7 linked regions of the Cricetulus griseus genome follow. The protein of the gene in region 1 interacts with the protein of each later gene in a pairwise test. Links are inferred from orthologs where the notes say so. Each region holds a gene or a part of one and is shown in the gene's direction. Other genes may lie near its edges.

Evidence for each region.
Region 2: the proteins of L3mbtl3 (region 1) and Ttc19 interact in binary tests that used the Homo sapiens proteins (3 or more experiments, as listed by UniProt). The two-hybrid records come from large-scale screens. The link is inferred for Cricetulus griseus from reciprocal best matches to the Homo sapiens genes L3MBTL3 and TTC19.
Region 3: the proteins of L3mbtl3 (region 1) and Banp interact in binary tests that used the Homo sapiens proteins (3 or more experiments, as listed by UniProt). The two-hybrid records come from large-scale screens. The link is inferred for Cricetulus griseus from reciprocal best matches to the Homo sapiens genes L3MBTL3 and BANP.
Region 4: the proteins of L3mbtl3 (region 1) and pleckstrin homology domain-containing family F member 2 interact in binary tests that used the Homo sapiens proteins (3 or more experiments, as listed by UniProt). The two-hybrid records come from large-scale screens. The link is inferred for Cricetulus griseus from reciprocal best matches to the Homo sapiens genes L3MBTL3 and PLEKHF2.
Region 5: the proteins of L3mbtl3 (region 1) and Prkaa2 interact in binary tests that used the Homo sapiens proteins (3 or more experiments, as listed by UniProt). The two-hybrid records come from large-scale screens. The link is inferred for Cricetulus griseus from reciprocal best matches to the Homo sapiens genes L3MBTL3 and PRKAA2.
Region 6: the proteins of L3mbtl3 (region 1) and pleckstrin homology domain-containing family F member 1 interact in binary tests that used the Homo sapiens proteins (3 or more experiments, as listed by UniProt). The two-hybrid records come from large-scale screens. The link is inferred for Cricetulus griseus from reciprocal best matches to the Homo sapiens genes L3MBTL3 and PLEKHF1.
Region 7: the proteins of L3mbtl3 (region 1) and Ngb interact in binary tests that used the Homo sapiens proteins (3 or more experiments, as listed by UniProt). The two-hybrid records come from large-scale screens. The link is inferred for Cricetulus griseus from reciprocal best matches to the Homo sapiens genes L3MBTL3 and NGB.

Annotation. Positions count from the first base shown.
Region 1 is NC_048595.1:245,423,326-245,427,305, reverse strand, and holds the start of L3mbtl3 (lethal(3)malignant brain tumor-like protein 3), read left to right. Parts: upstream 1-1,180; 5' UTR 1,181-1,300; intron 1,301-2,012; exon of another isoform or gene 2,013-2,172; intron 2,173-3,264; exon of another isoform or gene 3,265-3,455; intron 3,456-3,980. UniProt on the Homo sapiens protein: Is a negative regulator of Notch target genes expression, required for RBPJ-mediated transcriptional repression. It recruits KDM1A to Notch-responsive elements and promotes KDM1A-mediated H3K4me demethylation.
Region 2 is NC_048600.1:76,325,106-76,328,605, forward strand, and holds part of Ttc19 (tetratricopeptide repeat protein 19, mitochondrial), read left to right. Parts: intron 1-41; exon of another isoform or gene 42-63; coding exon of another isoform or gene 64-447; exon of another isoform or gene 448-483; intron 484-3,196; coding exon 3,197-3,351; intron 3,352-3,500. Other genes in the region: protein archease-like, read right to left, coding at 64-447. UniProt on the Homo sapiens protein: Required for the preservation of the structural and functional integrity of mitochondrial respiratory complex III by allowing the physiological turnover of the Rieske protein UQCRFS1.
Region 3 is NC_048596.1:198,654,727-198,658,226, forward strand, and holds part of Banp (protein BANP), read left to right. Parts: intron 1-2,666; coding exon 2,667-2,792; intron 2,793-3,500. UniProt on the Homo sapiens protein: Controls V(D)J recombination during T-cell development by repressing T-cell receptor (TCR) beta enhancer function. Binds to scaffold/matrix attachment region beta (S/MARbeta), an ATC-rich DNA sequence located upstream of the TCR beta enhancer.
Region 4 is NC_048595.1:125,116,670-125,120,169, reverse strand, and holds part of pleckstrin homology domain-containing family F member 2, read left to right. Parts: intron 1-2,419; 5' UTR 2,420-2,433; coding exon 2,434-3,183; 3' UTR 3,184-3,500. UniProt on the Homo sapiens protein: May play a role in early endosome fusion upstream of RAB5, hence regulating receptor trafficking and fluid-phase transport. Enhances cellular sensitivity to TNF-induced apoptosis.
Region 5 is NC_048595.1:44,756,433-44,760,396, forward strand, and holds the start of Prkaa2 (5'-AMP-activated protein kinase catalytic subunit alpha-2), read left to right. Parts: upstream 1-1,164; 5' UTR 1,165-1,195; coding exon 1,196-1,289; intron 1,290-3,964. UniProt on the Homo sapiens protein: Catalytic subunit of AMP-activated protein kinase (AMPK), an energy sensor protein kinase that plays a key role in regulating cellular energy metabolism.
Region 6 is NC_048602.1:117,578-121,870, forward strand, and holds the start of pleckstrin homology domain-containing family F member 1, read left to right. Parts: upstream 1-1,493; 5' UTR 1,494-1,712; intron 1,713-1,830; 5' UTR 1,831-1,966; intron 1,967-4,293. UniProt on the Homo sapiens protein: May induce apoptosis through the lysosomal-mitochondrial pathway. Translocates to the lysosome initiating the permeabilization of lysosomal membrane (LMP) and resulting in the release of CTSD and CTSL to the cytoplasm.
Region 7 is NC_048598.1:116,694,512-116,698,609, forward strand, and holds the start of Ngb (neuroglobin), read left to right. Parts: upstream 1-1,298; 5' UTR 1,299-1,662; coding exon 1,663-1,751; intron 1,752-3,053; coding exon 3,054-3,165; intron 3,166-3,805; coding exon 3,806-3,937; intron 3,938-4,098. UniProt on the Homo sapiens protein: Monomeric globin with a bis-histidyl six-coordinate heme-iron atom through which it can bind dioxygen, carbon monoxide and nitric oxide.

The DNA of each region.
Region 1 (3,980 bases):
ATTTAAGAGTTTTATTTTCTGAAACGACTTCAAGGAACATTCCTTTAGTGAAAAAAAAATTCAATCAAGAATAATCTTACTTACATTTTAGGGGAAGGGTTTTTAATATGGAATTTCCTTCTGTGATATATTTAAATTCTAGGCCTCAGGCAACAATAGCAGAGAAAGGCCCCTGTACCCTTCATTAGATGCAAAGCAAACAGTACATGCTGGGGGAGGAGCCTTCCTTTACTTCCCCACTGCTTTTCCTCTTCCCTCAGCGAAGTGCTAGGCTTGCCTCACCATCTCAGAAATCGCTTCTTTTTTCCCCTCTTTCCCTTCATAGCCAACTCTACTGTTGGTGTCAACATATTTATCGCAACTTTAAAGACTTCGAATTATTTTGTCTACCCCTAAACCTTGTAGGAAAGGGGGACCGCCAACTCCCCCAAAGCCAGTGTGCAGAAAACTGTCAATATCGAAATACAATACTAGCTTGATCCAGATTTGACGCGCTGACAAAGGCAGGGTTTGCTATTTAGGAGAGCTCAGCCATCTTGACTGAGTACATTAGGCGGGCGGTCCCGTCTTATTACCTAGGCACTTTACCAGGGATTTCTAAGTTGAGGCAGAACTCCCAGCGTCCCTTAGAACAGAGGCCTAACCCAGTGGAGCTGTCAATACAGATAGCATTTAGGATGCGGAACGAACGCGCAAGTTTCGGACTTTTATTATGCATTCTTCCAGTCTCGAAAAGGGCAAATTAAACTCCGTGCACGCTTAGAACTTTATTTCTTAATTTTCTTGACCTGTGGCATGTATTCAGCCCCTGGGTAGCAACGGTGTGAGCCCAGGGCCCACTCTTTAATGGCTGAATGCACACATTTAACCAGCACATGGTGGATTCGCTGCTCTGAGAATTGCCTTAGAAAAAAAGTAAAGTGCAAAAGCAGACAAAGAAATCTATAACCTTCTCAGTCTTTCCCCATTTGTTCGGGCCGTTCTTTGACCCAGCTCGGAAGCAGCAGCGACGAGGATCGCGAAGAGATGCACCTGAACCAGTGTCTGCGGGCGGCTGCCTGGGCCGAGCCGCTCAATCGCTGCTTTCCAGCGGCGAAGGCGCAGCAGCAGTAACAGGGAAGCCAGCGCGAGCCTCCCCGGCGGCGGCGGCGGCGGCGCGGCGGCGGCAGCACCGGCACCAGCGCAGTTTCCCCTCTCCCCAGCCCTGACTCTACGCGCACATGCGCACTGCGCCCGCAGCCCTGGACCATTTGTCAGGACTACTCGTGAGACGGAGAAAAAAAAAAGAGAAAATTTGGGGGTAAGAAGCGGCTGATCGGATCTAATCTCTAATTAATCCGCAGCTCGGCCCGTGCCAGAGCCATTCATTGATTTTTTTCTGGGTGAGGATGAAAGTTCAGAGAGCTAGAGAGGGAAGGAAGCGCACCCTCGTCTTGGGAAAGAGATCAGGGGAGGGGAAGGAGAGAAGGGGTTTCTCCCCCACTTCTCTGCGCCTCTGGGAAAGAGGAGAAAACTTAATCCCGGGGAAAAAAAGTGGGCAAGTGAGTCGGAAGCGGCTGGAGGGGGAGTCTGTGGGCATCTCACTCTGAAGTAGTGAGTGCGAGTGCGAAAGAGGAACAAAAGAGAGAGAAAAGAGAAAGGAAAAAATGGGGGGAGGAGAGACTTGTATTTTTTCCTCCTTTTGCGCGCACACGGGGAAGGGTGTGGGGGGCCGTGCGGAAGGGAGCGGGCCGAGGCGGCCGCGTCTGGCCGTCGCCGGCGCGCAGGCGGCGGGATGCGTGTGGGCCCCCTCCCCCGCGCCCCCCCCCCCGCTCCGAGCTTGTCACTTTGGTCGCTTTTTTGACACCGGGCGCGCGGGCGGCGGTGGGGGGAGCGCGGCGCCGCGGGGCTGCGTGTCCGGGGCGGCGCTGGGGGGGGGGTGGGGGGGGGAACGCGGAGGAGCCGCAGCCTCCCCGGGAGGCGCCGAGAGCGGTCGGGCCCCGAGGCAGGGGGGGGGCTCCGGCTTCGGGAGGGGAACCGTGGGCACGATCGCAGTGGCGACTCGGTGCGGCGGCGGCGGGAGGACGCGAGCCCCGGCGCGCCGCCCCTGCGGCCCCCTCCGCCCGTGTGGCCTTTGTGCCGGGCGCGCACCGGGAGAGCGAGCGAGCGAGCGAGCGAGCGCGAGAAGTCCAAGTACGGGAGACCGAGGCAGTGGGAAAAGAGGCCGCGCCACTTTGCTTTCCCGGCTCGGCTGCGGAGAGAGAACGGACTGGTTGAATGTGGCATCGGCGCGTCTCGCCGGCGCGGCCGTGTGTGTCTGTGTACGTGTGTCTGTGTGTCGGGGTGTGTGTCTGTGTGTCGGGATGTGTGTGTGTGTGAGTGTGTGTGTGTGTGTGTGAGTGTGAGCGCGCGCCGAGAGGCCTCCGCGACTCGCACCGCGCACACGCACCCGCACACGCACGCACACCCGAGCCGCGGCAGGGCCAGCGGCCGAGAGTTTGCGTGTGCTCTCCCGCTCGCCACCTCCCCCGCTCGCCGCCGCCGCCGACGACTGTGGGAGAATTTCCTAGAGATCGCCTCCAATTTCCGCCATTTTGGGAAAGTTGCACGGAAAAAAAAAAAAAAAAGAAATAAAGCCTCCGCTTGATTTTTTTTTTTCTTTTTCCTGCCGGAGGCTGGAAAGTGCTTTTCAAGGAGAGCGCGGCCGGCGGCGCGGGCCCGACACCGGCGTCCCCGCGGGAGGAGGGCGCGGGCCGGGCCCGGCACCCGCGCCGTCGCGGCGGCGTTCTTCTCGGTGCAGCGCCGCCGGTGCGGGCGTGCGAGGCGAGCGAGGCGAGGCGGCGGCTGCGGCGGGGGCCGCGGCGCCTGCAACTTGTTTACGCCGCCCGCGGTGGCCGAGGCCGGCGAGCCGGGTCCGCCTCGCGCGCCGCGTGCGTGCGCCCCGCCGTTCTGCGCTCATGGGCTGCTGGCTGGTCCCGGCTCGCGTCCTGGGCCCGGCGGGGCCGGCCTCGCGCGGCGGCGGCGGCGCGGCGGGGCGGGGGGAAGTAGAGGCCGGCGGGGGTGGGGATCGGGAAGCGCAGGAGCGGAGGCATCCGCCGCGCGCCCCGCCAGCCGCCGACCGGAGGAGGAGGCAAACTTGAGAGAGAGAGAGCGCCGGGCCGAGGGGCGCGCTGGCGGAGGGAAAACTTTAATCGGTTCCTGAGGGTGGAAAAAAAAAAAAAAACCGAACAAACCAAAAAAGACAACAACAAAAAAAAGGGGGGGGGTCTGGGATCCGAACCCCGCGATCGCGGCCCACCGCGCGACCGTGAGAGAAAGTTGACCGGTCGGGCGGCTAGCTCCGCGCCCGGCCCGCGCGAGGCAGAGGTTTCTGTCTGTCCGTCCGTGCTCCGTGATAGCCGGGGTGGGAGATCCAGCCGCACTGCCGGGTCGCGTGGGTCAGGGCTCTTGCCCCACCCTTCCACGGGGACACGAAGGTAAACGTCGCTTTGGTTTCCCTTCTCTGTCCTCCTGCAGCCACCGCCCAGCTTCCTTTTCCTCCTCTTTCCCCGCTGATTTTTCTTCTTTTTTTTTTAGGGGGGGGGACCCGAAAAACGGAGTCTCTTTCCTTATGCAACTTCCTCGGGCGCCGTTTGCACGGCCTTCTCCCCCCCCCCCCCACCCCTTTCTGCTCTGCCCGGCGGCCGCTCCTTTGCCACCTCGGGGCCACTGCCAGAAACATGCATTTGAGATCACCCCAAGTGCCCAGGAACAAAAATACATTTTAAAAAATTGTTCTAAGTTAAGGGAAACTGATCCGAGAAATAAAAGCGTGTGTGTGTGTGTGTGTAAGTATGTGTGTGCTGAATTTTCATTTCGATTTTCGTAGATGGTTGGTTGTGATGTCTTTATTGGTGTGGGGAGCCCAGGAAGCTCTGTACTGGCTACCTCGGTCGCGTGGATTTTTGCGCAAGTTTTTAGAAAAACACTGACTCGAGTAGAGAGCATTTCTCCGGAAAGTT
Region 2 (3,500 bases), on another chromosome or scaffold:
TGAGTATGTTATTGTTTTGACTTCTGTTCCCTGAGGATGATGCTTGGACAATGAAAATTCTTCTCACCCAGTTGACCGTAACTTGAAATTTTTTTGATCAATATTAAGTACTTTCACTTCCCAGGGTATGAAGTATTCATCAGCACTGAACTTGTAAAGCCACTCATCCAAAAAGTGGAACAGTAGAGGCTGTAAGTCATCTCCCTGGGTTTCTACTTCTACTGTTTGGAGGGGTTTCACAGTTTTAGTTTCTATCATGTGACCAAACATGGCCATGGCACACTGTTCAAATGCTTCCTCCAGAGTATCTCCCCATGCATACAACTGGACATCAGCTGTATGATCCAAATATTCATACTTTTGATTGGCTGGAAGATACTTGTCCTTGATCGCCTTCTGTTCCTCCATCAAATTGTAATCTCTACCATCTTCCTCTTCTTGAGCCATGATTGCAGACTTCAGGACCCCACATCCCCTCCTTCACATCTTTAAAGCTTTATTATTTAATTTGTTCACTTTTTTTTCTTTTTTCTTTCTTTTTTTTTCAAGACAGAGTTTCTCTGTGACTTTGGAAGCTGTCCTGAAACTAGTAGACGAGGCTGGTCTCGGACTCACAGAGATCTGCCTGCCTTTGCCTCCCGAGTGCTGGGACTAAAGGCATGTGCCACCACTGCCTGGCTAATTTATTCACGTTTAAAAAGATTTATTTAATTTTATATGTATGACTGTCCTGTATTTAAGTAAGTGTACTGTTTGTATGCCTGGTGTCTGGAGAGGCCAGAAAAAAAGCTCCACATTCCTGGGACTGGAGTTATGGCTGGTTGTGAGCCACCATATGGAGGCTAGGAACCAAACCTGGGTCCTCTGCAAGAGCAGCCAGTGCTCTCAACCACTGTGCCCTCTCTTAACCACTGTGCCCTCTCTCCAGTTCTGATTTGCTTTATTTTTAATTGTGTGCATGCATGTGTATGTGTGTACATGTGTGTGATGTATAATTGTGTATGTACACACACACACATACATGTCTGTGTCTAGTTATGTGCATGTGATTTTTTAGGTGCCCTCAGATTCTAGAAGAGGGTATTGATCACTTGGAGCTGGAGTGAGCTGCCCAGTGTGGGTGCTGGGAACTCAGAATGTGTCATGAATGTAAAATGTATTTTTAAAACATTTTTTAGAAAATATTCCAAGCATTTTACCTCATTAGTTGTACTTTCTGCCCCCTCTCCTTTACGTGTAACAGTAATCACTTTGCCCTAGAATTGCTTGTCACTTTGTTCTTTTATTTTTATGGCTTATCATATGCTTGTTTGGTATAGGATTCAGAGCCTTGCACATGCTAGGCAAGTGCCCAGTTCTCTGTCTGGTCTTTTAAAGTTATTTTGATGTATTTTATAGTTGTATGATCTAAAAAGACTATTTAGACAACACAGAAACATTTAAAGAAAGTTTAGCTGGGCATGGTAGGACATGTCTGTAATCCCAGCATTCAGGAGGTTTGCAAGCTGTAGGCCTGTCTCAGGGAAGGAAGGGAGGTGAGGGTGGGAATGGGAGGGTTGCATGTATGGCCATGCCCCAAGTTTTTCTCTTGGGTTCTGGCATTAGAACTCCAGTCTTCATACTTGTCCAGCATACACTCTTAGCTACTGGGCCATCTCTCCAAATCACTCCCTACTTCAGTATATGAGACAAGGTTTCATGACTTCCATGCTAACCTCACTACGTAGCTGAGGGTGACTCTCCTTATTCTCTGACCTCCACTTCCAAGTGCTTGGATTATAGGTGTGTGCTATCAAACCCAGACTGTACTATGCTGGGGATGAACACAGGGCTTCATGGAAAATAGGCAATCTTTCTACCAAAAGAGCTCTATCTAGCCTTGCCCTCAAAAGTTGTTATTGACTTTTGTTTGTTTTTTTGAGACAGGGTTCCTCTGTAGCTTCAAAGGCTGTCCTGGAATTCGCTCTGTAGACCAGGCTGGGCTCAAACCATAGAGATCCACCTGTCTCTGCCTCATGAGTGTTGGGATTAAAGGTGTGCACCACCATTGCCCAGCCTATTATTGACCTTTTATAATTAAGCAAATTATTTTAGATTTGTGCTTTTTAAACTTCATTTTTTTTAACTCTCACTATTTCATTACTCAGATGACTATGCTCATCCACCACAGCTGCATTGTTTTATTTGAACTATCTCTTCAGTAACTGATCATAGTGTTACTTAGTAACATACTATTTTTAACATTTTGTATGCCATTTGTCAATTTCCTGAAAACCTTAGAAGATGGAGAAGGAATGATAGCTCTGCTGGTAAATTTAAGTGAACATCTTCAGGTGCTGTCTGATAGTTTTCATGCCTAAAATTAGCTAATAAGCCAAGACTGGTTGCTCATGCCTGTATCTTTATCCTTGGAAGGCTGAGATAGGATTTATAGAAGTTTGAGGCCAATCTAGGCTATAGGAAAAACACCCATCAAGCAGCCTGTTTCTAGTTCTTTGTGAGCTTGGAATTATTCTCACTCATCATGTCTCCTACATTATTCTGAGGTCTTGTAAAGCTGATACTAGGCCCTGTTTTCTAGATCTGCAGCCTCATGCTCTTCGTGTGGTATCAGAGGTATGAAGTTTGAAGTCAGTTCACAGCCCAGCCCTTATTCTTGGGCAATTGGCTTATGTCCTTTAAATTTGGTTTGAGATTAAATTTGACTTGAGACCATTTCAGAATTCCAAGTATTCTTGGTTTCTTACTGCATTGTTTTCTTATGTAACAGCCCTGGCTGTCCTGGAACTCACTCTGTAGACCAGGCTGGCCTCAGACTAACAGGGATCTACCTGCTTCTGCCTCCTGAGTGCTGGGATTAAAGGTGTGCTCCACCAACCCCAGCTACTTAATCATTTGATTACTAGTTTCCAGTTTTAAAATATTCAATATTTGAATTGATCTGTGAACTCTTTATTCAGAATGGGGGTAGGGTGTTCCATGATTTCAGACAGCCTAATTTGTCTTTTTTTTTTTTTTTTTTTTGTTATTTAATTGGTTCATTCAAACAGTTTCCTGTAGTTAGGAGTTTACCTAAGTGACCGGAGACATTCAGTGGAACCTGGTGGCCACAATGAAGAAGTTGATTGGCTTTTTTTTTTTTTTTTTCACCTTTGTAAATAACTGTTTCATTCTCATGCTTTTATTTCTCTCTTAGTGGAAGAGAAAGCCAATACCTACCTCCTCCTTGGCATGTGCTTAGATTCTTGTGCACGCTACCTGCTCTTCTCCAAGCAGCTATCGCAAGCACAGAGGATGTATGAGAAAGCCCTGCAGATTTGTCAAGAAATACAAGGAGAAAGACACCCACAGGTAAAGGGGGAAAGCGTTTCTGAGGAACAATGCATGTAAGCCAGGCCTGGTGGTACAGGTACTCTGAAGGATGGGCCTTAAGGTCACAGGTTCAAGGCTGCCTGGCCAAGTTAGTGAGATCCCATGTCAAAAGCAGAAAAAGACAAAGG
Region 3 (3,500 bases), on another chromosome or scaffold:
TGTCATGGGAATGTGTGTATGTATGAAAAGTTTGTGGATGGTTGCTGTCTGGGCCAGTCAGTGATTGAATAGTTGTCTTTCTAGCACCTCACTGTTCTAGAGAAAACTACCCTTTGAGGTTGGGAAAAGACCCTTGTTTGGATGAATCAAGTGAGTAAGAGAAACAAGTTGAAGCTTCTTAGGCTTTTCCTGCAGCTGTGGGCCAGGCTGGCCTCACACTAATCAACACGACTCAGTGTCTGCCCCTGGCACAAATGTTTCCCTTTGTTTTACTTTGGTTTTGCTTCCTAATAGATTCTTGGTGGGATTCAGTTTCATATGCAGATACTGCTGAAAGGTCCTGGGGCTTCTTGCATTTATTTTAGGGTTTGCACCAGTTTTGCATTATCTCAGTTGGGTTTTAAGTAGAGCTTCAGAATTGGTAGTGGATGGAGGAAAACCAGATGGTGTGTGCTCCAAAGCACAGTGCTCCCAGGTTCTCTGAGTGCCCCGCTCCAAACTCTTGCCCTCTGCCATTTTTTCATATGTCTGAAAAATTCGCAGTGCTTCAAAAATGTGTTAAGGGAGTTGCTACCAGTGAAGCTGAGACTATAGCACATGCCTGCTTCCTGTCCCTGTCTCTGGCCTGTTAGTACTGTGCTATCCCTTGGGAAGTCCATTGGAGGTCAGCTGCAGGCTAGCTGGAGTTGGCTGCCTGGAGGTGATGGGTCTGGCTATTGGCCTGGGAGCCAGCACTCACTTCACTACTGTCAGACATTTCCACATTCCAGCGCCTGTTTGGAGAACCTGCAGATCAGGGCTCCGTTCCAGATGCAAAGTAGGCAGGAAGAGTGAAGGAACTGAAAGTTCATTATTAGGAGATAAGTGGAAACTTGCCTCTGTGTGCCATACCATGGTGGCCTGCATTGCTGCATTCCTTTTGTAGCCCAGGGCTCATGTCAGCCAGATTATTGCCTACAGCAGCAGAGATTCCTCCAAAAAGACTGAGTAGTTGGTCTTCTTGGGCAGCCAAAATGTGCCCTGGATACCCAACACAAACTCATCTTTGCTATCCTAAAGCTGGGATTTGACTTTAAGGTTTTTATCCACCACCAACTTAACATTAAAGCCAAACCCCAACTTGCATTATTCTCTTGAAGCACTGCCAGGACATGCCAGAGACCAGGATGTGGTTGGCTTAGGGAGTGTATCAGGCCTTCCTGTGCTCACTGCAGTACACCTGCACTACTCTTGCACAGTGCTGTGACAGGTACTCTAAACAAGGCGGAGCACGTGCAGCACATATTTCCATCCAACATTTGTAGTAGATACCTGTTGGGTGCTTGAGTCAGTCACAGAAAGTGTTCTAGTGTTGCTGGGACCTTCCTCAGTCTTGTTTGTAAGGATAGATGCCAGATGTCATCTTCCTTGCCCTGACAGCTATCCTGGGCTATAGTGTTTCAAAGAAGTTCTTGGGGTAAACAGCCCATGCCCACCCAGCTGGCTCTTCCTGTATCAGTCCTCCTCATGGCTGTCCTTTCCCTGGAGTAGCATTTCCCTTGAAACCATACTTGGGTTGTTGTGGTCTCATACAGCTCTGGCTGACCTCCAACTCACTTAAGTAGTTAAGGCTGGCTTTGAACTCCTGATCTCCTGCTTCTCCCTATCAAGTGCTAGGATTATTAGCCATCATGCTGATAATGCTAAAAGGTATTTGTTTTGGTAACTGCCTGGGAGGTGCCTTGGAGCTTTCCCTCTGGTGCTGGAGGCAGGTTCAGGAAGGGCCCACACAGCAGAACATTTGCATGTCTGCTCCTGTTGCTGGAGAAGAACTGGTCACTAGGATGATAAGTCTTGAGTGTGGACCAGAACCATACAGGGACAGGCCCAAGAAGCATGGCCAGAACCGGGCAATTCAGGTATGGCCAGGCATTCCCAGGCAAGTGCCCTCCCTGTGATCATGGTGATGGCACCCTTGACATGAATGTTGATCTTCAAGTTTCTTCTTCACAGAAGCCAGCCAAGATGAGAGCTCACCAGTTCTTCCACACAGTTGAAATGGACTTGGACGGATCCCATAGCCAGGGTCTAGGCCCCACAGCTTTCTCACTGGGAGACAGTTTGCAAACCAGGCCTGGTAGCTCTTGTCTTTGAAAGCTGTAACTTCCTAAGTTTTGTCCAGATGAGAATCTTGCTTCCATTCATTGAATGATTGGTCAAGTTACACCTTTGTCTTAATATTGCAAATTCAGATTTTCTTACAGTCCACCACCTCAGATTTAACCCGCTTCATGTTTCATACAGAAAATGGTTTTATTGGCAATGTTGGCAGGATAGCACTATTGGGGTGCTGAGCAGGGAGGGTGCTGCTTTCTGCACAGGCAGAGCTTTCTGGGAAACAGGTTCCATGATTGCAGAAGTATCCTTAAAAGCAGCTACAGTTACCTTAGACTCATTATGGAGGAATCTTGTTAAAATGTAACATGATTGGGAAATTGTGGTTATGTTACAACTGCTGACTTGGGGTTTCCAAAGGCAGCCTGGCTTCTGAGTTCCCAGGAGATAGCAAACCAGGCAGCCACAGTGTGCCAGCACCTCCCCTTTTTCCTACCTCTTCCCCACAAGGTGGGATCTGTGGCTTGACATGTCACTGCCAAGCCTATAGCCCCCATTCTGATCTCTTCCAGTCGTGGGGCCTGTGCCAGAATCCCATTCCTGTCAGCGGTGACTCAGTGGCCCAGGCTAATCCCTCCCAGCTTTGGCCTCTGGGAGGAGACACACTTGATCTGCCTGCTGGAAATGAGATGATCCAGGTTTGTAAGTGTTTCTTGTCGGGAGATGTGGGTGGCCTGACCAGTGTTTTCCAGGGACCATGAGAAGAAGAGTCAGGTTAGAGCTCTGGACAGCAGGCAGGACCTGATTGCCACACAGGTATCTGGCCTTTTGAGAACCTACAGCAAGTTAGACGATGCCACACATTGTGAGTCCAGGCTTACTTATAGAAGCTGCCACATAACTGCTATTGTCCATGCTGGTTTACCCACAGAGGCCTGAGGATAAGAGCTTGCTTTGGTAGCCAGAAACACCAGACACCATAGGAGTTTAGTAGAGCATTCTAGGGGTTTAGTAGAGCTGATGAGGTGTCTGTGAACAGATGTGTGCCTTATATGTACGTGCATGCATGTGCACATGTATGACCACATGTGTCTGAAGACATACTTGAAACCATTAATGGCATATAAAAGCATATAGTTTGATGACTGGCCAGAAAGACAGATCCATCTGATGAACTCAGAGCCCTCCACCCCACAGAACTTTTTATTCATGGGGGCAGGATCATACTGCTGTTGCAGCAGTTCTGGTATTTGTGTCCTTTCCTTCTGAAGCTGGCTGCTTCTGCTGTTCAAGGAGCACACGGAGCACCCTTTGCCTCTAGCTGGGTTACCCTGGTGGATGACCCAGGGCAGGTCAGGGGAGACAGCCAGGCACAAGTGGGCCATAGGTATAATCCTGTCTGTTTG
Region 4 (3,500 bases), about 120 Mb from region 1:
TACTATGCTGAATATTCTGTATGTATTTTCATGCACTGAGTCAAATTTATTTTTCAAAATCTGTTTTATTTGTGTGGGTGGGTAGATCTATGCAAGAAAGTCACAAGTCAGCTCCTTTGGGTCCCTGAGATGGAAGTCAGTTTGTTAGGCTCATTGGCAAGTGTCTTTACCCATTGTGCTGTCTCACTGTTTCAAAGTTTCTTTTGGTTGGATATTGCATTGATGGTTTTACTTGTTTTCTATAAAGTGCAAAGGTACCTGTTGCCCTACACTGTTACACATACTACATCTTAGGCATTTCCTTTTTCTTTTCTTTTTTCTTTTTGTCAATCTGATAAAAGTATCTTAGTATTTTAATGGCTTTAATTATAAATGAGGTTGGGCTTTTCATGTCATTTTAATTCTGTGATTTACTTTTTAGTGTGGGGGTGCACACATGCTTGTAGATACCTTGCTTATCAAGGTGTGCTTGTAGAGATCAGAGGACTTTGGGTGGTAGTCAGTCCTCCTACCTTGTGCACCCTGGGGCTTGAACTCAGGACACCCGGTTTGGTGGCAAGAACCTTTACTCACTGACCCTTCTTTGGCATATTCTTCATAAGTTAGTAGACTTTTTGTTTTCCTTAAGGAGCTGGAGGTGGAGCCCATGCCTTGTGTGGGCTAGGGAAGCACTGTGTCACTGAGTTGTGGTACTAGTCTCAAAAGAGGGAGTGGAGAGAGACAGGGACAGCTGTAGAGGACTGGTCACTTAGTTAAGACCTTCAAGGTTTGAAGCCATTCATTGTCTCCTTCACTGTTGGGAGTACCCTAGGACATGCCAGTGTTCCTCTTGGTGAAAGGGAACAGAGTTTCAGGAATAGTCAGAAGGGTTACAGTATTGTCAGTTGGTGAGTTGAGGACAGCTGTGTTTGTCTTTAAATAGTTCCCTTTCAAACCTTGGTATTCTTCAATGTGTTTGTTAGTGTAGTAGTACTAGGTTAGTGATTGAAATAGAACACCGTTCAGGGACTTGAGAGAGCTCAATATTGGACCTAGAGATTAGATCTATGATCATTAAAGTTGTTAAAAATGTTCTTGTTTATCTTGTACATTTGGTACTTCAGATCATGTCAGTTTAAAGATGGCTATCAGAGGGCCATTCTGGTTTCACTGCAGCCAATGGAGGGCATGGATTTCAGTCCTTTGGTAAAAAGAAAGCTAAGAATTATATAGAATATGACAAACATAGAGGATGGATTTTTGCTGCTGTTAGTATTTCTGATTTTGTCTAGCATAGGAAAATGTACGGGAAGAGAGATGCTAACTAAGATTTAGAAAGCTGAAGTTGTGAATAGTAAGGAAGACAACAGTGAAAGGCACTTATACATTGTAATGTTTTCTTCAAATACTGTGTTTTAGGCAGGGAATGACTTAGGTTGAGGTTGGAGAGAACAAAAACCTGGTAATAGCTGGATGTGGTGACACATGCCTGTCATTCCAGTGCTTAGGGGTCTAGGGTAGAGGGATGGCAAGTGCAGGGCCAACCTGAGGTACATAGTGTGATATCCTGTCTCAAAAACAAAACAATTAAAAACAAAAACCTGGGCTGGAGAGATGGCTCAGCGGTTAAGAGCACTGACTGTTCTTCCGAAGGTCCTGAGTTCAATTCCCAGCAACCACATGGTGGCTCACAACCACCTTGAATGAGATCTGGTGCCCTCTGCTGGCAGCAGGCAGAAGACATAATAAATAAATAAAATAAATCTTTAAAAAAAAAAAAAAACCTACCAGGTAATTAAGGGCCTTACACACTATATGCTAAACTTTATTGTATTAAAGATTAAGGGGAATCGTTTCAAGTAACAACCGGTCAATTTTGCAATGCCTAAGTGTTGGTTTAGAAGGGAAATCTGGAAGCAGGAGAGCATGTTGAGAAACAGTTGGGAATAATCCAGGAAAGGAAATTAGAGCCTCAGCTCAGGGGACACATGCATTTTATTGGGAAAAGAGTGGCCATGTTATTTAAGTGTGTAGGCTTCTGTTCTCCAGCATCCCATTGAGATTCAATTTCATGGAACTGGGTTTATTATTTTGCAGAAGTAACATGTTAATTTTCCTGTTGTTTTTACTTGTGCTGACCATGATGGCACATAGTTGTAGTCTGAGCTTGGGAAGTAGAGGCAGGAGGACTGTGATCTAGGCCACATGTTTCTACAGCCTTTGTAATAGTTGTGTGACTAGGATTGTGTTTTGTGGAGGGGTAGAAGTTTGGATTACTGTAAACAATGAAGATGTAGTATGCTTAGTGATTTGTTTTAGAAGGAAAGAATATTGGAATATTTGCCTTTGGAAAAAGCAATGTCTTAGTAGATTAAATTTTTTTTTCTTGTAGGAATTTATTATTTCTGTGTGTAATTTCTTTTTCTTTTTTTCCCTAAAGGTTATTAGCAAAAAATGGTGGATCGCCTAGCAAACAGTGAAGCAAATACTAGACGAATAAGTATAGTGGAGAACTGTTTTGGAGCCGCTGGTCAACCCTTAACCATCCCTGGACGGGTCCTTATCGGAGAGGGAGTATTGACTAAGCTGTGCAGAAAGAAGCCTAAAGCAAGGCAGTTTTTCCTGTTTAATGATATTCTTGTATACGGCAACATTGTCATCCAGAAGAAAAAATACAACAAACAACACATTATTCCCTTGGAAAATGTCACCATTGATTCCATTAAAGATGAAGGAGAATTACGGAATGGATGGCTTATTAAGACACCAACTAAATCGTTTGCAGTGTATGCTGCCACTGCCACCGAGAAGTCAGAGTGGATGAACCACATAAATAAGTGTGTCACCGATTTACTCTCCAAAAGTGGGAAGACACCGAGTAGTGAGCATGCTGCTGTCTGGGTTCCTGACTCTGAGGCCACTGTGTGTATGCGCTGTCAGAAGGCAAAGTTCACGCCAGTTAATCGGCGGCACCACTGCCGAAAATGTGGCTTTGTTGTTTGTGGTCCCTGCTCTGAAAAGAGATTTCTTCTTCCCAACCAGTCTTCTAAGCCTGTGCGGATATGTGACTTCTGCTATGACCTGCTTTCCACTGGGGACATGTCTTCGGGTCAGCCGACTAGATCAGACTCTTACAGCCAGTCATTGAAGTCTCCTTTAAATGACGTATCTGATGATGATGATGACGATGATAGCAGTGACTAAGGACATGTTTTGAAATATTTAATTGGGTGTGACTACCTGAGAATCAGCTTTGGGAGAAATGTAAAATTCCTAGTTCTCTCAATTTTGCTGTAGCCATGACTTCATCTGAGGAAGTTTTGACCTTTGTGCCTCTGTATCCTATAGAAAGTAGCCCCTCACTCTCTGCTCCTCTCTGCACTCTCACAGGGACAGATATATCTGATAAAGTCTTGGCTTCTGTTCTCCTTAGTTCTAGATTGCTTTCTTGTAAGTTGGAAAAGATGTTTATTTAACATATCTCGTACTACATTTTTTCCACTGATGAGGAAAAACTAAAA
Region 5 (3,964 bases), about 200 Mb from region 1:
CAGGTGGTCCTGGTTTCTATAAAAAAGCAGGCTCCCCCGGGCATTAGAGGCGCATGCCTTTAATCCCAGCACTCGGGAGGCAGAGGCAGGCTGATCTCTGTGAGTTCGAGGCCAGCCTGGTCTCCAGAGCGAGTGCCAGGATAGGCTCCAAAGCTACACAGAGAAACCCTGTCTCGAAACCCCCCCCCCCCCCAAAAAAAAAAAAAAAAACCAGGCTCAGCAAGCCATGGGAATCAAGCTAGTAAGCAGCACTCCTTCATGGCCTCTGCATCAGCTCCTGCCTTCAGGTTCCTGCCCTGACTTTGATGATGAACAATGTTGTGGAAGTGTAAAGCGAACAAACCCTTTGCTCCCTAACTTGCATTTTGGTCATTTCCCCCCCTACAGCAATAGAAAACCTAAGAGAGTGGGAAAGATTTATTGTAAATAAAAGCGGACAAAACGGCAGAAGCAAGGCAGAGACATCTGGGAGGGTCCAGAGTGAACAGGGCCATACTGAGCAGGACCACGTGAGGAGAAAGGGGGGGGGAGGGAGAGCAAGAGAAGAGCCTGGACCAATGTAGCCAAAATGGCTGAGGTAGATGGGGGCCAGAGGAGCTGGGGGAAGTGGCAGCCAGGGCTGCAGAGTTCAAGGTAGGGGGCGGGGTAGGCCAGCCAGGAGGACTGTAGGGTGGAGATGGAGGGATGCTGGGACAACCTGGCGGCCAGCATCACCTCTGATCATTTAACAGGCGCCCCAGTTAGCCATTTGTCCTTGGTTTGAGATCCAACAATAACACGACTAGGAACTGCAAAACAAGCGTGAGTTATGAGAGGGTACAGACTAGAACGTCCCCAGACAATCGAGCCTTGACCGGAGGAGCATCCCGGGGGGTAGAGGAGAGCCGCCCACCCCAGCGTCCACCCCACCTGCCCCGAGGGAAGTCTCACTGTCCACACCCCCTCTCCCCCACTTCTTTGCAGATTCTCCTTCCGTCTCTGTCGCGCTCAGATTCGTCCCTCCCATCTGCACTCCTTGGGGCTTTCCTCAGGGCGCCTGGGCTCTGCGTCCCACCGGCTTCGCCAGCCCCACCGCGCCCGGCGCCCCCGGCGTCCCCGTCCCGCCCCCTGGGCCCGCTGCACTGTGGGTAGGCGGCGGCGGCGGCGGTGGCGGCGGCGCTGAGGGCCCGCGGCCGAGGGAGGCCGTGCGCCGAACATGGCTGAGAAGCAGAAGCACGACGGGAGGGTGAAGATCGGGCATTACGTGCTGGGGGACACCCTGGGCGTCGGCACCTTCGGCAAAGTGAAGAGTGAGTGCAGCGATGCCGGCGGGGGGCCGGGCGGCAGGTGGAGAGCCCGCGGGCGAGCCGGGGAGCCCCCAGCATCTCGCGCAGCAGCCCCGGGCGTGGGTCGGGGGAGCCCGCGTTATGAGCTATGCCTCGGCGGTCCCTGCGAGTCCCCAGTCCCTTCTTTATCCCTCAGAGCGCTTGTCTGCAGAACTGGGCGACTGGCCCAGTCTGAAGGGCCCTGAAGCATGGGGAGGATGGGAGAGACACCGCGCCGTGGATTGGGAGTGAGTCTCCCACTCGTGCCAGATGCCCTGCGTGGAGCGTCACCTGTGACCTCAGTCATTCCTTAATGTGGCACGGTCCGGGTGTGGTTTTCACCTTAAAGGTGAGAGAACGCAAACCCCAAGGCTCCAGCGACACGCCCAAGGTCACAGAGAATTGGCAGATCCAGGGTCTGAAGTCTAAGATGTCCTCCAATTTTGGCCTTGCTGAGAGGTCCCTGCCTTCCCTATTATACCTCCCTGTACCAGACTTTGATGGTGGAGTTGACTGGGGGGCATGCCTAGAGCCAGGAGGTGGGGGGTTCCTTTGCTGAGTGTGTGAAATGCTGGAATGCAGTAGGTTGCACCCCCACCCCCACCCCCACCCCGGTCTCTGCAGGTTGATTGGTGTGTAAAATGTTTGAGAAAGGTTTCTGGGGTCAGGGTCGCAACAAACGATCCTTTGTGATGGAATTTGGGGCCCAAGAGGTCAGGATTGCTTAGGCATGTGTTCTTGAGGTTTGCTGTCTTTGGTGAAGGGATTGCAATTGGGGTTTAGAAAACAGTAACAACAGTAGCAACAAAACAAAAAAGCCAAAACAAATACACACAAAACAGGCAGCTTTGGAAATTTCGCACTGTACTTTCTAGTTAAGTATTAAACTTTGCTTTGCTTTCTTATTAGTTAATAAGAGTCACATGGGCTTTGCTTACCTGTCCTCTTAACAGCTCTTGTTAAAAATACTTGGTAGCAAGTTGAGAATTAAAAGTGAAACATTAGCTTTTTGTTGTTGTTGGATAAATGTTGTTGGGTAAGCAGTCTAGAAATGTTATGCCGAGGTTTATTTTACATTTTAACCTCAAGTGAAGACTTGGGTTAAAAGTAGGAGGGAGAGACGCGTCATTTCTCAACGACTGACCCCTGTTCTTGGTATATCTTATACCCATTTGTACAACGAGAAAACACTTACTGAGAACTCTTAGCACACATGAGGCACTGTTCCAGGCAGCAGACTTCTAGGAAAGAACAAAACCTGAGCTTTCCTGGGGCTTACTTTCTACCAGGACAATCAGAATACACGTGTGAAGCCCGAGAATAGGCGAGCAGAGGGCAGTTTTGTGAGGTTGGCAGATTATAATGAAGTGGTCACACGTGGTGTTCCTGAGTGGGTATTTTTGTAAAGACCTAAATTGTTTGTGAAATTCTTTGAAGTCTTGTGAAGGCTATGAAGTTGAGATGAAAATCAGTTGGGGTCTTGGAAGAACAGGAGAAGATCCAGAGATTAATGAATGATGTTGACAACATCTTTGCTGAGAACTGCTTTGTTAAGACATTGCGCAGTTAAGCGACAGTTGCTTTGCCATTTAGGGTTAGTTATATAGCTTAGCCCTATATTCTTTCACATTCTGCTAAGTGCTTTTGTTTGTCCAGCCCATTGTCAAAGGATAATTTAAATCTATTTAGGTCATATTTTCTCTCTGCTTCTAAGCGCCACCTTCCTAAACTGCAAACCTAACAGAAGGGACCTTTGATTTATGGGGAAAATCCTTTTCCTGGAGAACCCTGGTGGAATGAGCAACTGGTTGAAGTTTTCCTGACACTGTTTGATCTTCCTAAGGAGACACTGTGGTGCAATAGCTAATTTTTTTAACCGATTCACCCAAGGTAGCATATTCTCGGAAGGTCATCTTGATGAAGGATCACTTAGATTACTTAGCTTGTGGGCATATCTGTGGGAATTGCTTAGGTTGTATTAATTGAAATGAAAAGACCCACCCATTCTGGGTTTGGGGCCTGGACTGTAGAAGTGTGGAGAGAGGACTGAGCATGAGCAAACATGCTTGCATGCATTCTCTCTCTGCTCTTGACTAAGGATGTGGCTGCTTCAAGTTCTTGCCATGACTTCCCAGAAATGGATGGCATCTGGAATTTTGAGTTAAAATACTCTCTTTCTCCACTGAGTTGCTTTTAGTCAGGGTGTTTTATGACAGAAATTAAACTAGGGCATGTGGTTTGTAGTAAGTCCAACTCCAGTTGTTCAGTTAATTCAAGGTGAAACAAAGCATGTACATTTAAAAATACATTTTTACTTATTTAACAATTTCATACTTATATACAATGTGCTTTAATCAAATACACCCCCTACTCTCTCCCCTTCAACTCCTATCATACACTGCCACGTCTCCATTCCAAGTTTATGTACTCCTTTTTTTTAACTCACTGAGTCCACATGGTGCTGCCAATCTGTGCATGGGTATAGGGCCAACCACTGGAGCATGGGCAACCTACCAGGAGTCACATCTGAAGAAAACTAGCCTCCAATCCCCAGCCAGATGAGCAGCTGTCAAGCTGTCAACTGCCAGTTGCTTCTCAGCTAGGAGTTGGCCCTCTTGCGCTCCTATCTTATCCAAGGAATGAATATATATATATATATA
Region 6 (4,293 bases), on another chromosome or scaffold:
GCATCCCAGAGGCAGGTGGATCTCTATGAGGTCAAGGCCAGCCAGAGCTACCTAATGAGATCCTGTCTCCAAACAAAGGTGGTGGAGGTGGAGAGTCAGGCTTGGTACATATGTGTCATAAGCCCCTAGTCCTTGGTTTGTTTGTTTGTTTCAGACAGTTTTACAATGTATCCTAGGCTGATCTAGAATTTACTAACCTCCTGCCTCGGTCTTCCAAGTGTTGAGATCATACATATGAGCCACAATACTCACTTTAAAAAATTTGTTTTCCCAACATATGTTTTGAACTTTTTATACTGACCCAGAGTTGTAAAAATACAAGCAGAGAAGGCCTGTTTCTGTATAAGCCACAAACTGAGAGTGGTTTGCCCATTTTTGTTTGTTATGTTTTGTTTTGTTTTTTAAGTCAAGGTTTCTCTGTGTAACTCTGCCCTGGAACTCACTCTGTAGCTGGCCTCGAACTCACAAAGATCTGCCTGCCTCTGCCTTCTGAGTGCTGATATTAAAGTCATGCACTACAACACCCACCTTAAAGATTTATGTATAATTTCATGTGTAAAAGTGTTTAACTGAAGTTACAGGCTGCTGTGAGCCATCCAAACCAGGATCCTCTGTGAAAGCAGCAAATGCTCTTAACCTCTAAGCCACTTCTCCAGTCCCCAGCACGTACATTTTTAAGGGGTTAGAATGCAAATACAAAAGAAGGAAGAATGTTTTATAACATTTTAAGAAAGTTATAGGAAATTCAATATCAGTGTGCATATCACCGCTTGTTTCCATGTTTCCCGAGGCTGCTTTCACTCTGCAGGGGTGGTCCCAGACACCCCTTTGCTAAGCCCCAAATACTTACTGTTTGAACCCTTTTTGCAGAAAGTCTGCAAACCCCTGACTCAGATTTACCAGATATTAAATGTCTTTTGTGTGGTTCTGAGATGGAACCCAGGGCTTTGCAGAAAAGCATTACACGGCCAAGACCCTTCTCCAGGTCTTCAAGGATTAAGATTATCTGTTGTTTCTACCCTTAAGTATGTTAGTATGTTAGTGGGGTTTTTTTGTTTTTGGTTTTTTTTGTTTGTTTGTTTTTCTGGGATGGAACCCAGGCCAGGTCCTTTACCCAGCCCTCTGCTTCTTGAGCCAGTCACAGGAAATTGCAGCCTCGGAGTGAGAAGAGACAAGATAATGAAGAGTTAGGTACACTATGCTTAGTGTGTAGACAGAACTCAATAAACAAGGCAATGAAAATTCCAGGCATTTTTTTCACACGGGTTTTGAAAAAAGAAGAAAAGAAACTAGCTTGGGCCTGCTGAGCCTGAGACTTTGCTCACTCCCTGGTTCCTGCAGTCTGGAAACCAGCTTTTCCCAGAAAGGATTTTTAGCCAAAGAGGCAGAAAAGGCCTCCAGGAAACTTCATTTTTTCCACAGCTTATGGCTTGGCTGACTCAACTTCTGCCCTCCCCTGAGTCACAAGTTTGTCCTCTTCCTTGGAGGAGGGTGGGAGCCTTCATTCAGTCTCCCCACCCACAGTCAGGCCTCGATGGGAAGGGGTGGGTAGCTGGATGGTTCCTTTATGCTGCTTCAGGGGATTCCCCACCCTTCCACTCTGCTGGATGAGATCCTGGGGCTAGAAGGAGACAGTTGAGACTGAGTTCTTAGTGGGCCCTGAATCACCGGTGGAACAAAGCTGGAGGCGTTTCCTGGCTCCAGAATCACAGGTAATTCCTTACTCTGGTCTTTTAGACTCCCCTTCTTTAGGCAGCCACTCTGTGCCAGAGTGTGCCGCTGTGTGGGATGCCAAGATGCCATCATAAACAAGACTGCTCTGCCTTCCAGGGACCCACCCTCATCCTAGCCACCTCCGTGTCTCCCTGAAAAGTCCACCCTTTCGAAGGAGGGGAGAGGGGAGACCAGGGGATTGAGGCAGCCATGAAACACGACCTTGCAGACTAAAGACCTCTCCTCATAAGCGGTGCGTGTACTTGGAATGGCATTTTCAGTACCCTACCTGAGTTTCTCGGTGGGACTGGAACCACTGCCTCTGTTGAAAAGCAGACTCGTCACTTGTGCCCACAGGGGAGATGAAAGGGAGCAGAGAGCCCCGCGTGTCTGCCTGCTAACCCCACATGTAGGCTCATCACCCGCGAAAGGCATGCCTATCTAAAAACAAGAGTGATCTAACCGCTTTCATGCCATTCACAAAGGAAGCATCTTACTTTCAACTTTTACAATATCCTGTTCCAAAGCCCCCAAACGTACCGGAAGTTCTGTAGTCACTGGCCCAAACTCGTGGGTTCTGAGAATAGCAAAGCCTCCCATCCGATCAACCCCCACGACAGCCACCTTCAGACAGTGGTCTCTGATGTCCTCACACCACCCCCCAACCCCGCGCCCAAATTCTTCAGCTATTTAAACCTAAAGTTGTATCAGTGCTCCAAAGATAGACTTGGGACGTCACAGAACCCTTTTATCTGTGAATGAAAAAAAAAAAATGAAATGAGGACATGACTCTGCTCGCTGTGGTGGAGGAGGAGTTTATTGCAGGGATGTAGATATTGTAAATATGAGGAGAGGCATAGGCAGAGGCGTCTGGAAAAGTCCAGAGTGAAATGGGAAACGGCCGGCAGGCTGAAATGAGCCGTGTGGGAAGAGGGGCCAAGGGAGATCGGAGAGTCAGAAGCCAAAATGCCAGGAAAGCAGAACAAAGAGCAGTTGCCTAGAGACAGTAGGAAGCCCAGCCCCAGTCCTTGGGCTGGAGAGTTATAGGTGGGGTATGCAAGCCAGGATGACTCTGTAACAGAACCTAAGAAATGCTGGAGAACCTGGCAGCCAGCGTCTGCTTTGAAATGGTAAATAGGCACCCCGGGGTAACCCCTCATCTGGAATTTGAGTTTTTTTTTTTTTTTTAAGATTCATTTATTTGAGGCTTTTGGATTTTTTTAATTAATTTATTTATTATGTGTACAGTATTCAGTCTGCACCCCAGAAGAGGGTGCCAGATCTCACTATAGATGGTTGTGAGCCCCCATGTGGTTACTGGGAATTGAACTCAGGACCTCTGGAAGAGCAGCCAGTCTGCTCTTAACCTCTGAGCCATCTCTCCAGGCCTGGGATTTGAGATTTAACAACCCGTTCTCCCCAATACCCCCTCTTCCTTGCACTCATGTTTCTCACTGATGAATGGGGACTGGTGGGAACTCAGAGCCAGGCTTTGGTCCTAAAACTCTAGTAACAGTTAGAACCTAGCCTGTGGGACTTCAGACACTGTCTTTTTTCCACACGGTGGAGAGTTTGGGTACATCACCAGTCAGAAATCCAACTGGGATATATCCATGGGTAGGGGAGGCCTGGAGTAAAGCCATAGAGTGGTGGTCGGTGGTGAATGGAAGAGCATGAGCCCCCCATGTGACCGGGACGGTGAGCTGTGGAGAAGTAGACCCGTATCCCCAAATCCCCCTGCCTCAGCTTCCTGAGATCACAGGCAGGTGCCACCAGGCCCCCAAGTCTTAGGCTAAAAATCAGAGCTGGCGATACAGCTCATTGACGCTGCACTTATCTAGGATGTGAGGCCTTGAGTTCAAATCCCAGTACTGGTTGGGTGAGGGCATAGAGGGAACTTTTTAAAAGTCTCAAATTTTATGTGAATTCTGCCAATCTGAAATGTTCACAGCGGCGCATTTTGTAAATGTTTAAACAAATTTCAGGCCAAAAAGGCTGGAACTAGCTCCTGTAGACCAGGATGGTCTGGAACTCACAGAGATCCACCTGCCTCCGCCTCCGCCTGCTGGGATTAAAGGTGTGAGCCACCACTGCTCCGCAGGAAATGTTCTTCAAGTGTGGCTACTTAATAAATGCTGACAGGCTGCGGGTGGGGTGGTGAATGACGGCAGGGATTTGGTAGAGACTAAGGGGCCGAAGGCTGGAGACCCAGTTAGGTAAAACTCTTGTCTTTACAACAACCAACCAACCAACGAAATGGGCGAGGTAGAGAACTGGTGCTTTGGGGCCAAGAAGACCTCTCTGAGGAGCTGACATTGAAACGGCGAAGGAGGGGGGAGTGGAACCAGCCCAGGGGTTTTGAGGAACCGGAAGAAGACGGTGGGAGAGTATGTGCGTGGGCGCAGGTGACAGAGGAAGGCCGGCTGGGACCTGAGTTCTGAGTGTGCACCGCAGCTAGGGTGGGCTGTGAGAGGGGAACGTGGGGCCGCTAAACCCAGCGATCTCCTCCCGGGTTTTTGACATTTTCCCCAGGGAAACGTTTGTAAAGTTCGGTCGATCATCAGTAAAAGGCGTGTCATC
Region 7 (4,098 bases), on another chromosome or scaffold:
CCTTTTAGAAGGCATGGGACTGAGCACAACTAGCACAGGATTGCCCATGGGGCTACAGTCTGTTGATAACCCAAGACCAAGGACACTGATTTATATCCATGCAACAAAAAACTCTGAAGACCTTGCTGCCCAAACCCTTACAGCACATCTGAGGATGCAGTTAGAGTCAACAGTAAAAGATAAAGGGAGGGTGCTCTCCAATACCTGAACCAGTGAAACTGGGCTGGGGTCAAAGAACTTCCATGCTTGAAAGAGAACAACATTGCTAACTGACAGGTGGCCAGCAGCACTCTGATGGCAAGCACAGGACTTAGCTTAGCCACTTTTAGAAAAGAGTATTGATTTATGTGTCTTTCTCAGGCACCCCAACTAATTGTTTGAGATAGTCTCTTACTGAACCTGGAGCTCACTGAACTGGCTAGCTAGCTCCAGAAACTCTGGTTTTCCACCTTCTCAGTGCTAGTATTACAGTCACCTGGCCTCTCCCTCCTACCTCCCTCTTTTTTTTTCTTTCCTTTGAGACAGTGTCTCTCTACATAGCCCTGACTGCCCTAAAACTCATTATGTAGACCAGACTGGCCTCCAAGTCACAGAGATCCACATGATTCTGCCTCCCCACTGCTGGGATTAAAGCTATGAACCATCATTTTCATTTTGTTTTTAATCTGAGTGCTGGGGTTCAAACCCAAAGATGCCCCCTGAACCATCTTCCAAGCCCTTGGTTTTGGAGGGTTTGGGGGTTTGTTCATGTGTTTTGGGTTTTTTGTCATGAGTTTCAGTAGATCGTGGAATGACAGACTATGACTTTAACTCCGTGCATTTCCAGTTATTCCCGAGAGGGATTCCATTCTTGGCTTGAGATAGTTATGACTTGGCTCTGTTCCTTAAACTGAGAGCCTTTGTAGGCCCAAAGTTGTTCAGGTGCCCCAGTCAGACCCAGGGCTTGAGCAGAGGACAGACAGACAGACCAATTTGGTGACCTGGGTCCAGCTAGCTGAACTCGGGGATTGTGAGCACAGACCATGAGCCCAGGAGAAGGCAAGCCCAAGAGATTTCCAGTGGGGAGGTGGAACTCACCTTGAACACTGGGCCTCCGGCCTCTTCCCTCAGAAACAGGATTATTTATTATTGAAGGGGAGTGAGGCAATCTATGTAGCCCAGGCTGGTTTCACCCTCTCTGTCTTCCTGCTCCAGTCTGTCTCTCAACACTAAGGTTGCATGCACATGCCACTAGGCCAGCAAAGTAGTAGCATTGCTAGCTTTCAAGAGTGAAACAAGCCCAGAGGCTGAACAATTTCTCTTAGGCTCTGAAGCCTGGACAATTCCCAGGCCTCGGGTCGTCCCTGCCTAAGGCGGGTACAGAGGGAGCGCTAAGCCTAGGGGGTGGGAACCACCGTAGCTTTAAAGGGCGGTTCTCTGGGAGCTTCGGGGCACAGGGCGCAGCTGCCCGAGCGGGGTCCCCGGAAGCGGCAGTGGGTGCGCATCCTTTCGGCTGGACCAGCGAAGGAGCGATTGTTGGCCCCCTCCCGACCAAGGCACTGGGCCTGGAACTCCCCCACCACCACCCCGCGTCGCCAGCACGGAGATGGCGCTGCACGTGAGGTGATTGCGCCCAAGCCCCGAGGGTCCCATCCCGGTTTCCCGCATCTCTCCGGAGAGATCATGGAGCTCCCAGAGCCCGAGCTGATCCGGCAGAGCTGGCAGGCGGTGAGCCGCAGCCCTCTGGAACATGGCACTGTCCTGTTCTCCAGGTGAGTGCTACCGGGCACGAGTGGAGGGGTGCCTGGCAGCAGTGGGCTTGAGATTGCTGGGCTTGTCGCCAGAGGAAGAGAAACGGGCCCGCTTGCAGTGGTGCTCCCGGGAGAGAGGGGTGTGTGTGTAGCGACAGGTGGTGCTGTCCCATCTGCTCTTCCCAGATAGCGGCTCCCACCCGAACTGATTGGGGGCCGGTGGGGTTCCTCACCCGCACCCACAGAGCAGGCGGGTAGATGCAGTGCTCCCTGCTCTACTCTGTGATATCTTAATGGGGAGTGACTGCAGGACTGCCCACAGGGGCCGGGCCAGTAGGAGGAGATGAGCCCCCGAAGGCCAGCTGGGGTGTGCAGGCACCTAGATCCGTGGGATGGACTCCCGTGCCCACCCATCCACCTTCGAGTAGGAGGCCACATCGTCCTGTCCCAGGAGAGCTCACACCCAGCCACCAGCAAGATGAACCCTTCTGAGGACAACACAGGCTTAGGACCAGAGGTGCTCCAGGAGAGGGGCGATAGGCGTCCAGTCTCACCACCAGTAAGAGAGGGAGAAGGAACAGGCCTAACAGGAGGAGAACGGCTGGTTTTAAGCCATCACCAAAGAGCCGCACTCCCCCTCTCATCGCAGATCCCTAGGCCAGTCCAAAACTTCGGAGCAAGACTTTTTGGCAAAACCTCTCCAAGATGGAAGGGGAATAAATTAATTTACACAAAAGAGTTACACAAAAATGCAAGCTCTTCCCAGTGAGGCTGACATTTTCTGGTTGGGCCAACTGTATTTTTTTTCAAACTCCCCCTCCCATCTTGCCCCCAACTCCCCTCCACCACCACCACCACACACACTCTGGTGCCCACTGTGGCTTTACTGTGTAACTTAGGCAGCTTGCTTAGACTCTCTGAGCTTCTGTTTTCTCTTCTGAACCCACTGCTTAAAAGTATGAGGGACACACAACCACAGTTAACTGACAAATGCTTAAAGCTCAGTAGTACATAGAGTGTGTACATGGCATCACCCATACAAGCCTCAGATCTGAGGGCATTGGGGAATTTTGATCCAAAAGGGAAATTTCCCCCTAGATTTTGGTTTGAGATTCCTGCCTGTCCCAAACCCAGCCCCTCAGTTGTTTAGGGAGGAGCTACCATCTGCCAGGTAATGAGAGAGGCTGGGGACAAGTGTCCTCTGGAGGGGACGTTGACTAAGCTGGCAGGGCCCAGTTAGGAATGTACCGTGGCTTTCTTCTGAGCAGTCAGGTTCTGCTGGGTCGATGCTCAGTGCTGATGACCGCTGCTCCCAACCCACAGGCTCTTCACCCTGGAACCCAGCCTGCTGCCTCTCTTCCAGTACAATGGCCGCCAGTTCTCCAGCCCTGAGGACTGTCTCTCCTCCCCAGAATTCCTGGACCACATTAGGAAGGTGAGGGAGGCAGAGCTATGAGGGCTCAGATCTGTAGAACATTGTCTTGGTTGGGAAGAAAGGACTTGATATAGGAAGCAGCTTACACACACACACACACACACACACACACACGCACGCACGCACGCACGCACGCACGCACGCACGCACGCACGCACGCACGCACGCACGCACACACACACACACACACACACACACACCATTCCCGCCTCGCTGGATTGGACCCAACCCTGTCCTCAAGCCAGCTGGACCCAGCCTGGTACATAGCTCTCAGTCTTGTCCTCTGGCTCCCGTGGCTTGTATGGGTGGATCTTGACCACTGGGAACTACCTGCCTATGAAAACTAGGCTGGGCTCATGATCTCCACAACACCTCAGTCTATTCTTGTCCCATGCAGGCAGTATTGTTCTACAGGTATGTCACAGGTTCTGAGATCCTCAAAAGAGAAGGGCTTCATGGGTGGAATTTCGGTAGTCCGAGCCACCACATACTGAGCGCCTACTGTATACAGACATTGGCTGCCTACCACATTTGATTCTGGACAACAGCATTCTAAAAGCCTCCTTGGTTGAGTAGCCTAGGTCCTAGGCTGTGGTGGTAAGCAGGTAGGTTTGTGCTGGACTCTCTGTGTCCTTGACAGGTGATGCTGGTAATTGATGCTGCAGTGACCAACGTGGAGGACCTGTCTTCACTGGAGGAGTACCTGGCCGGCTTGGGCAGGAAGCACCGGGCCGTGGGAGTGAGGCTCAGTTCCTTCTCGGTGGGTAGTGAGGTACTTTCTTGCCCCAGAGCTCCAGAGCTACGGCCACCACTCTCTCCCAGCCCCCCCCCCCCAATTAAAGTCTATTTGCTTCCCTCCACACCTCCAGTTCCTCAGACAACCAGAAATAACGGCCTGCTCTAGTTACTTGCCTGCACGTGACTAACACAGAC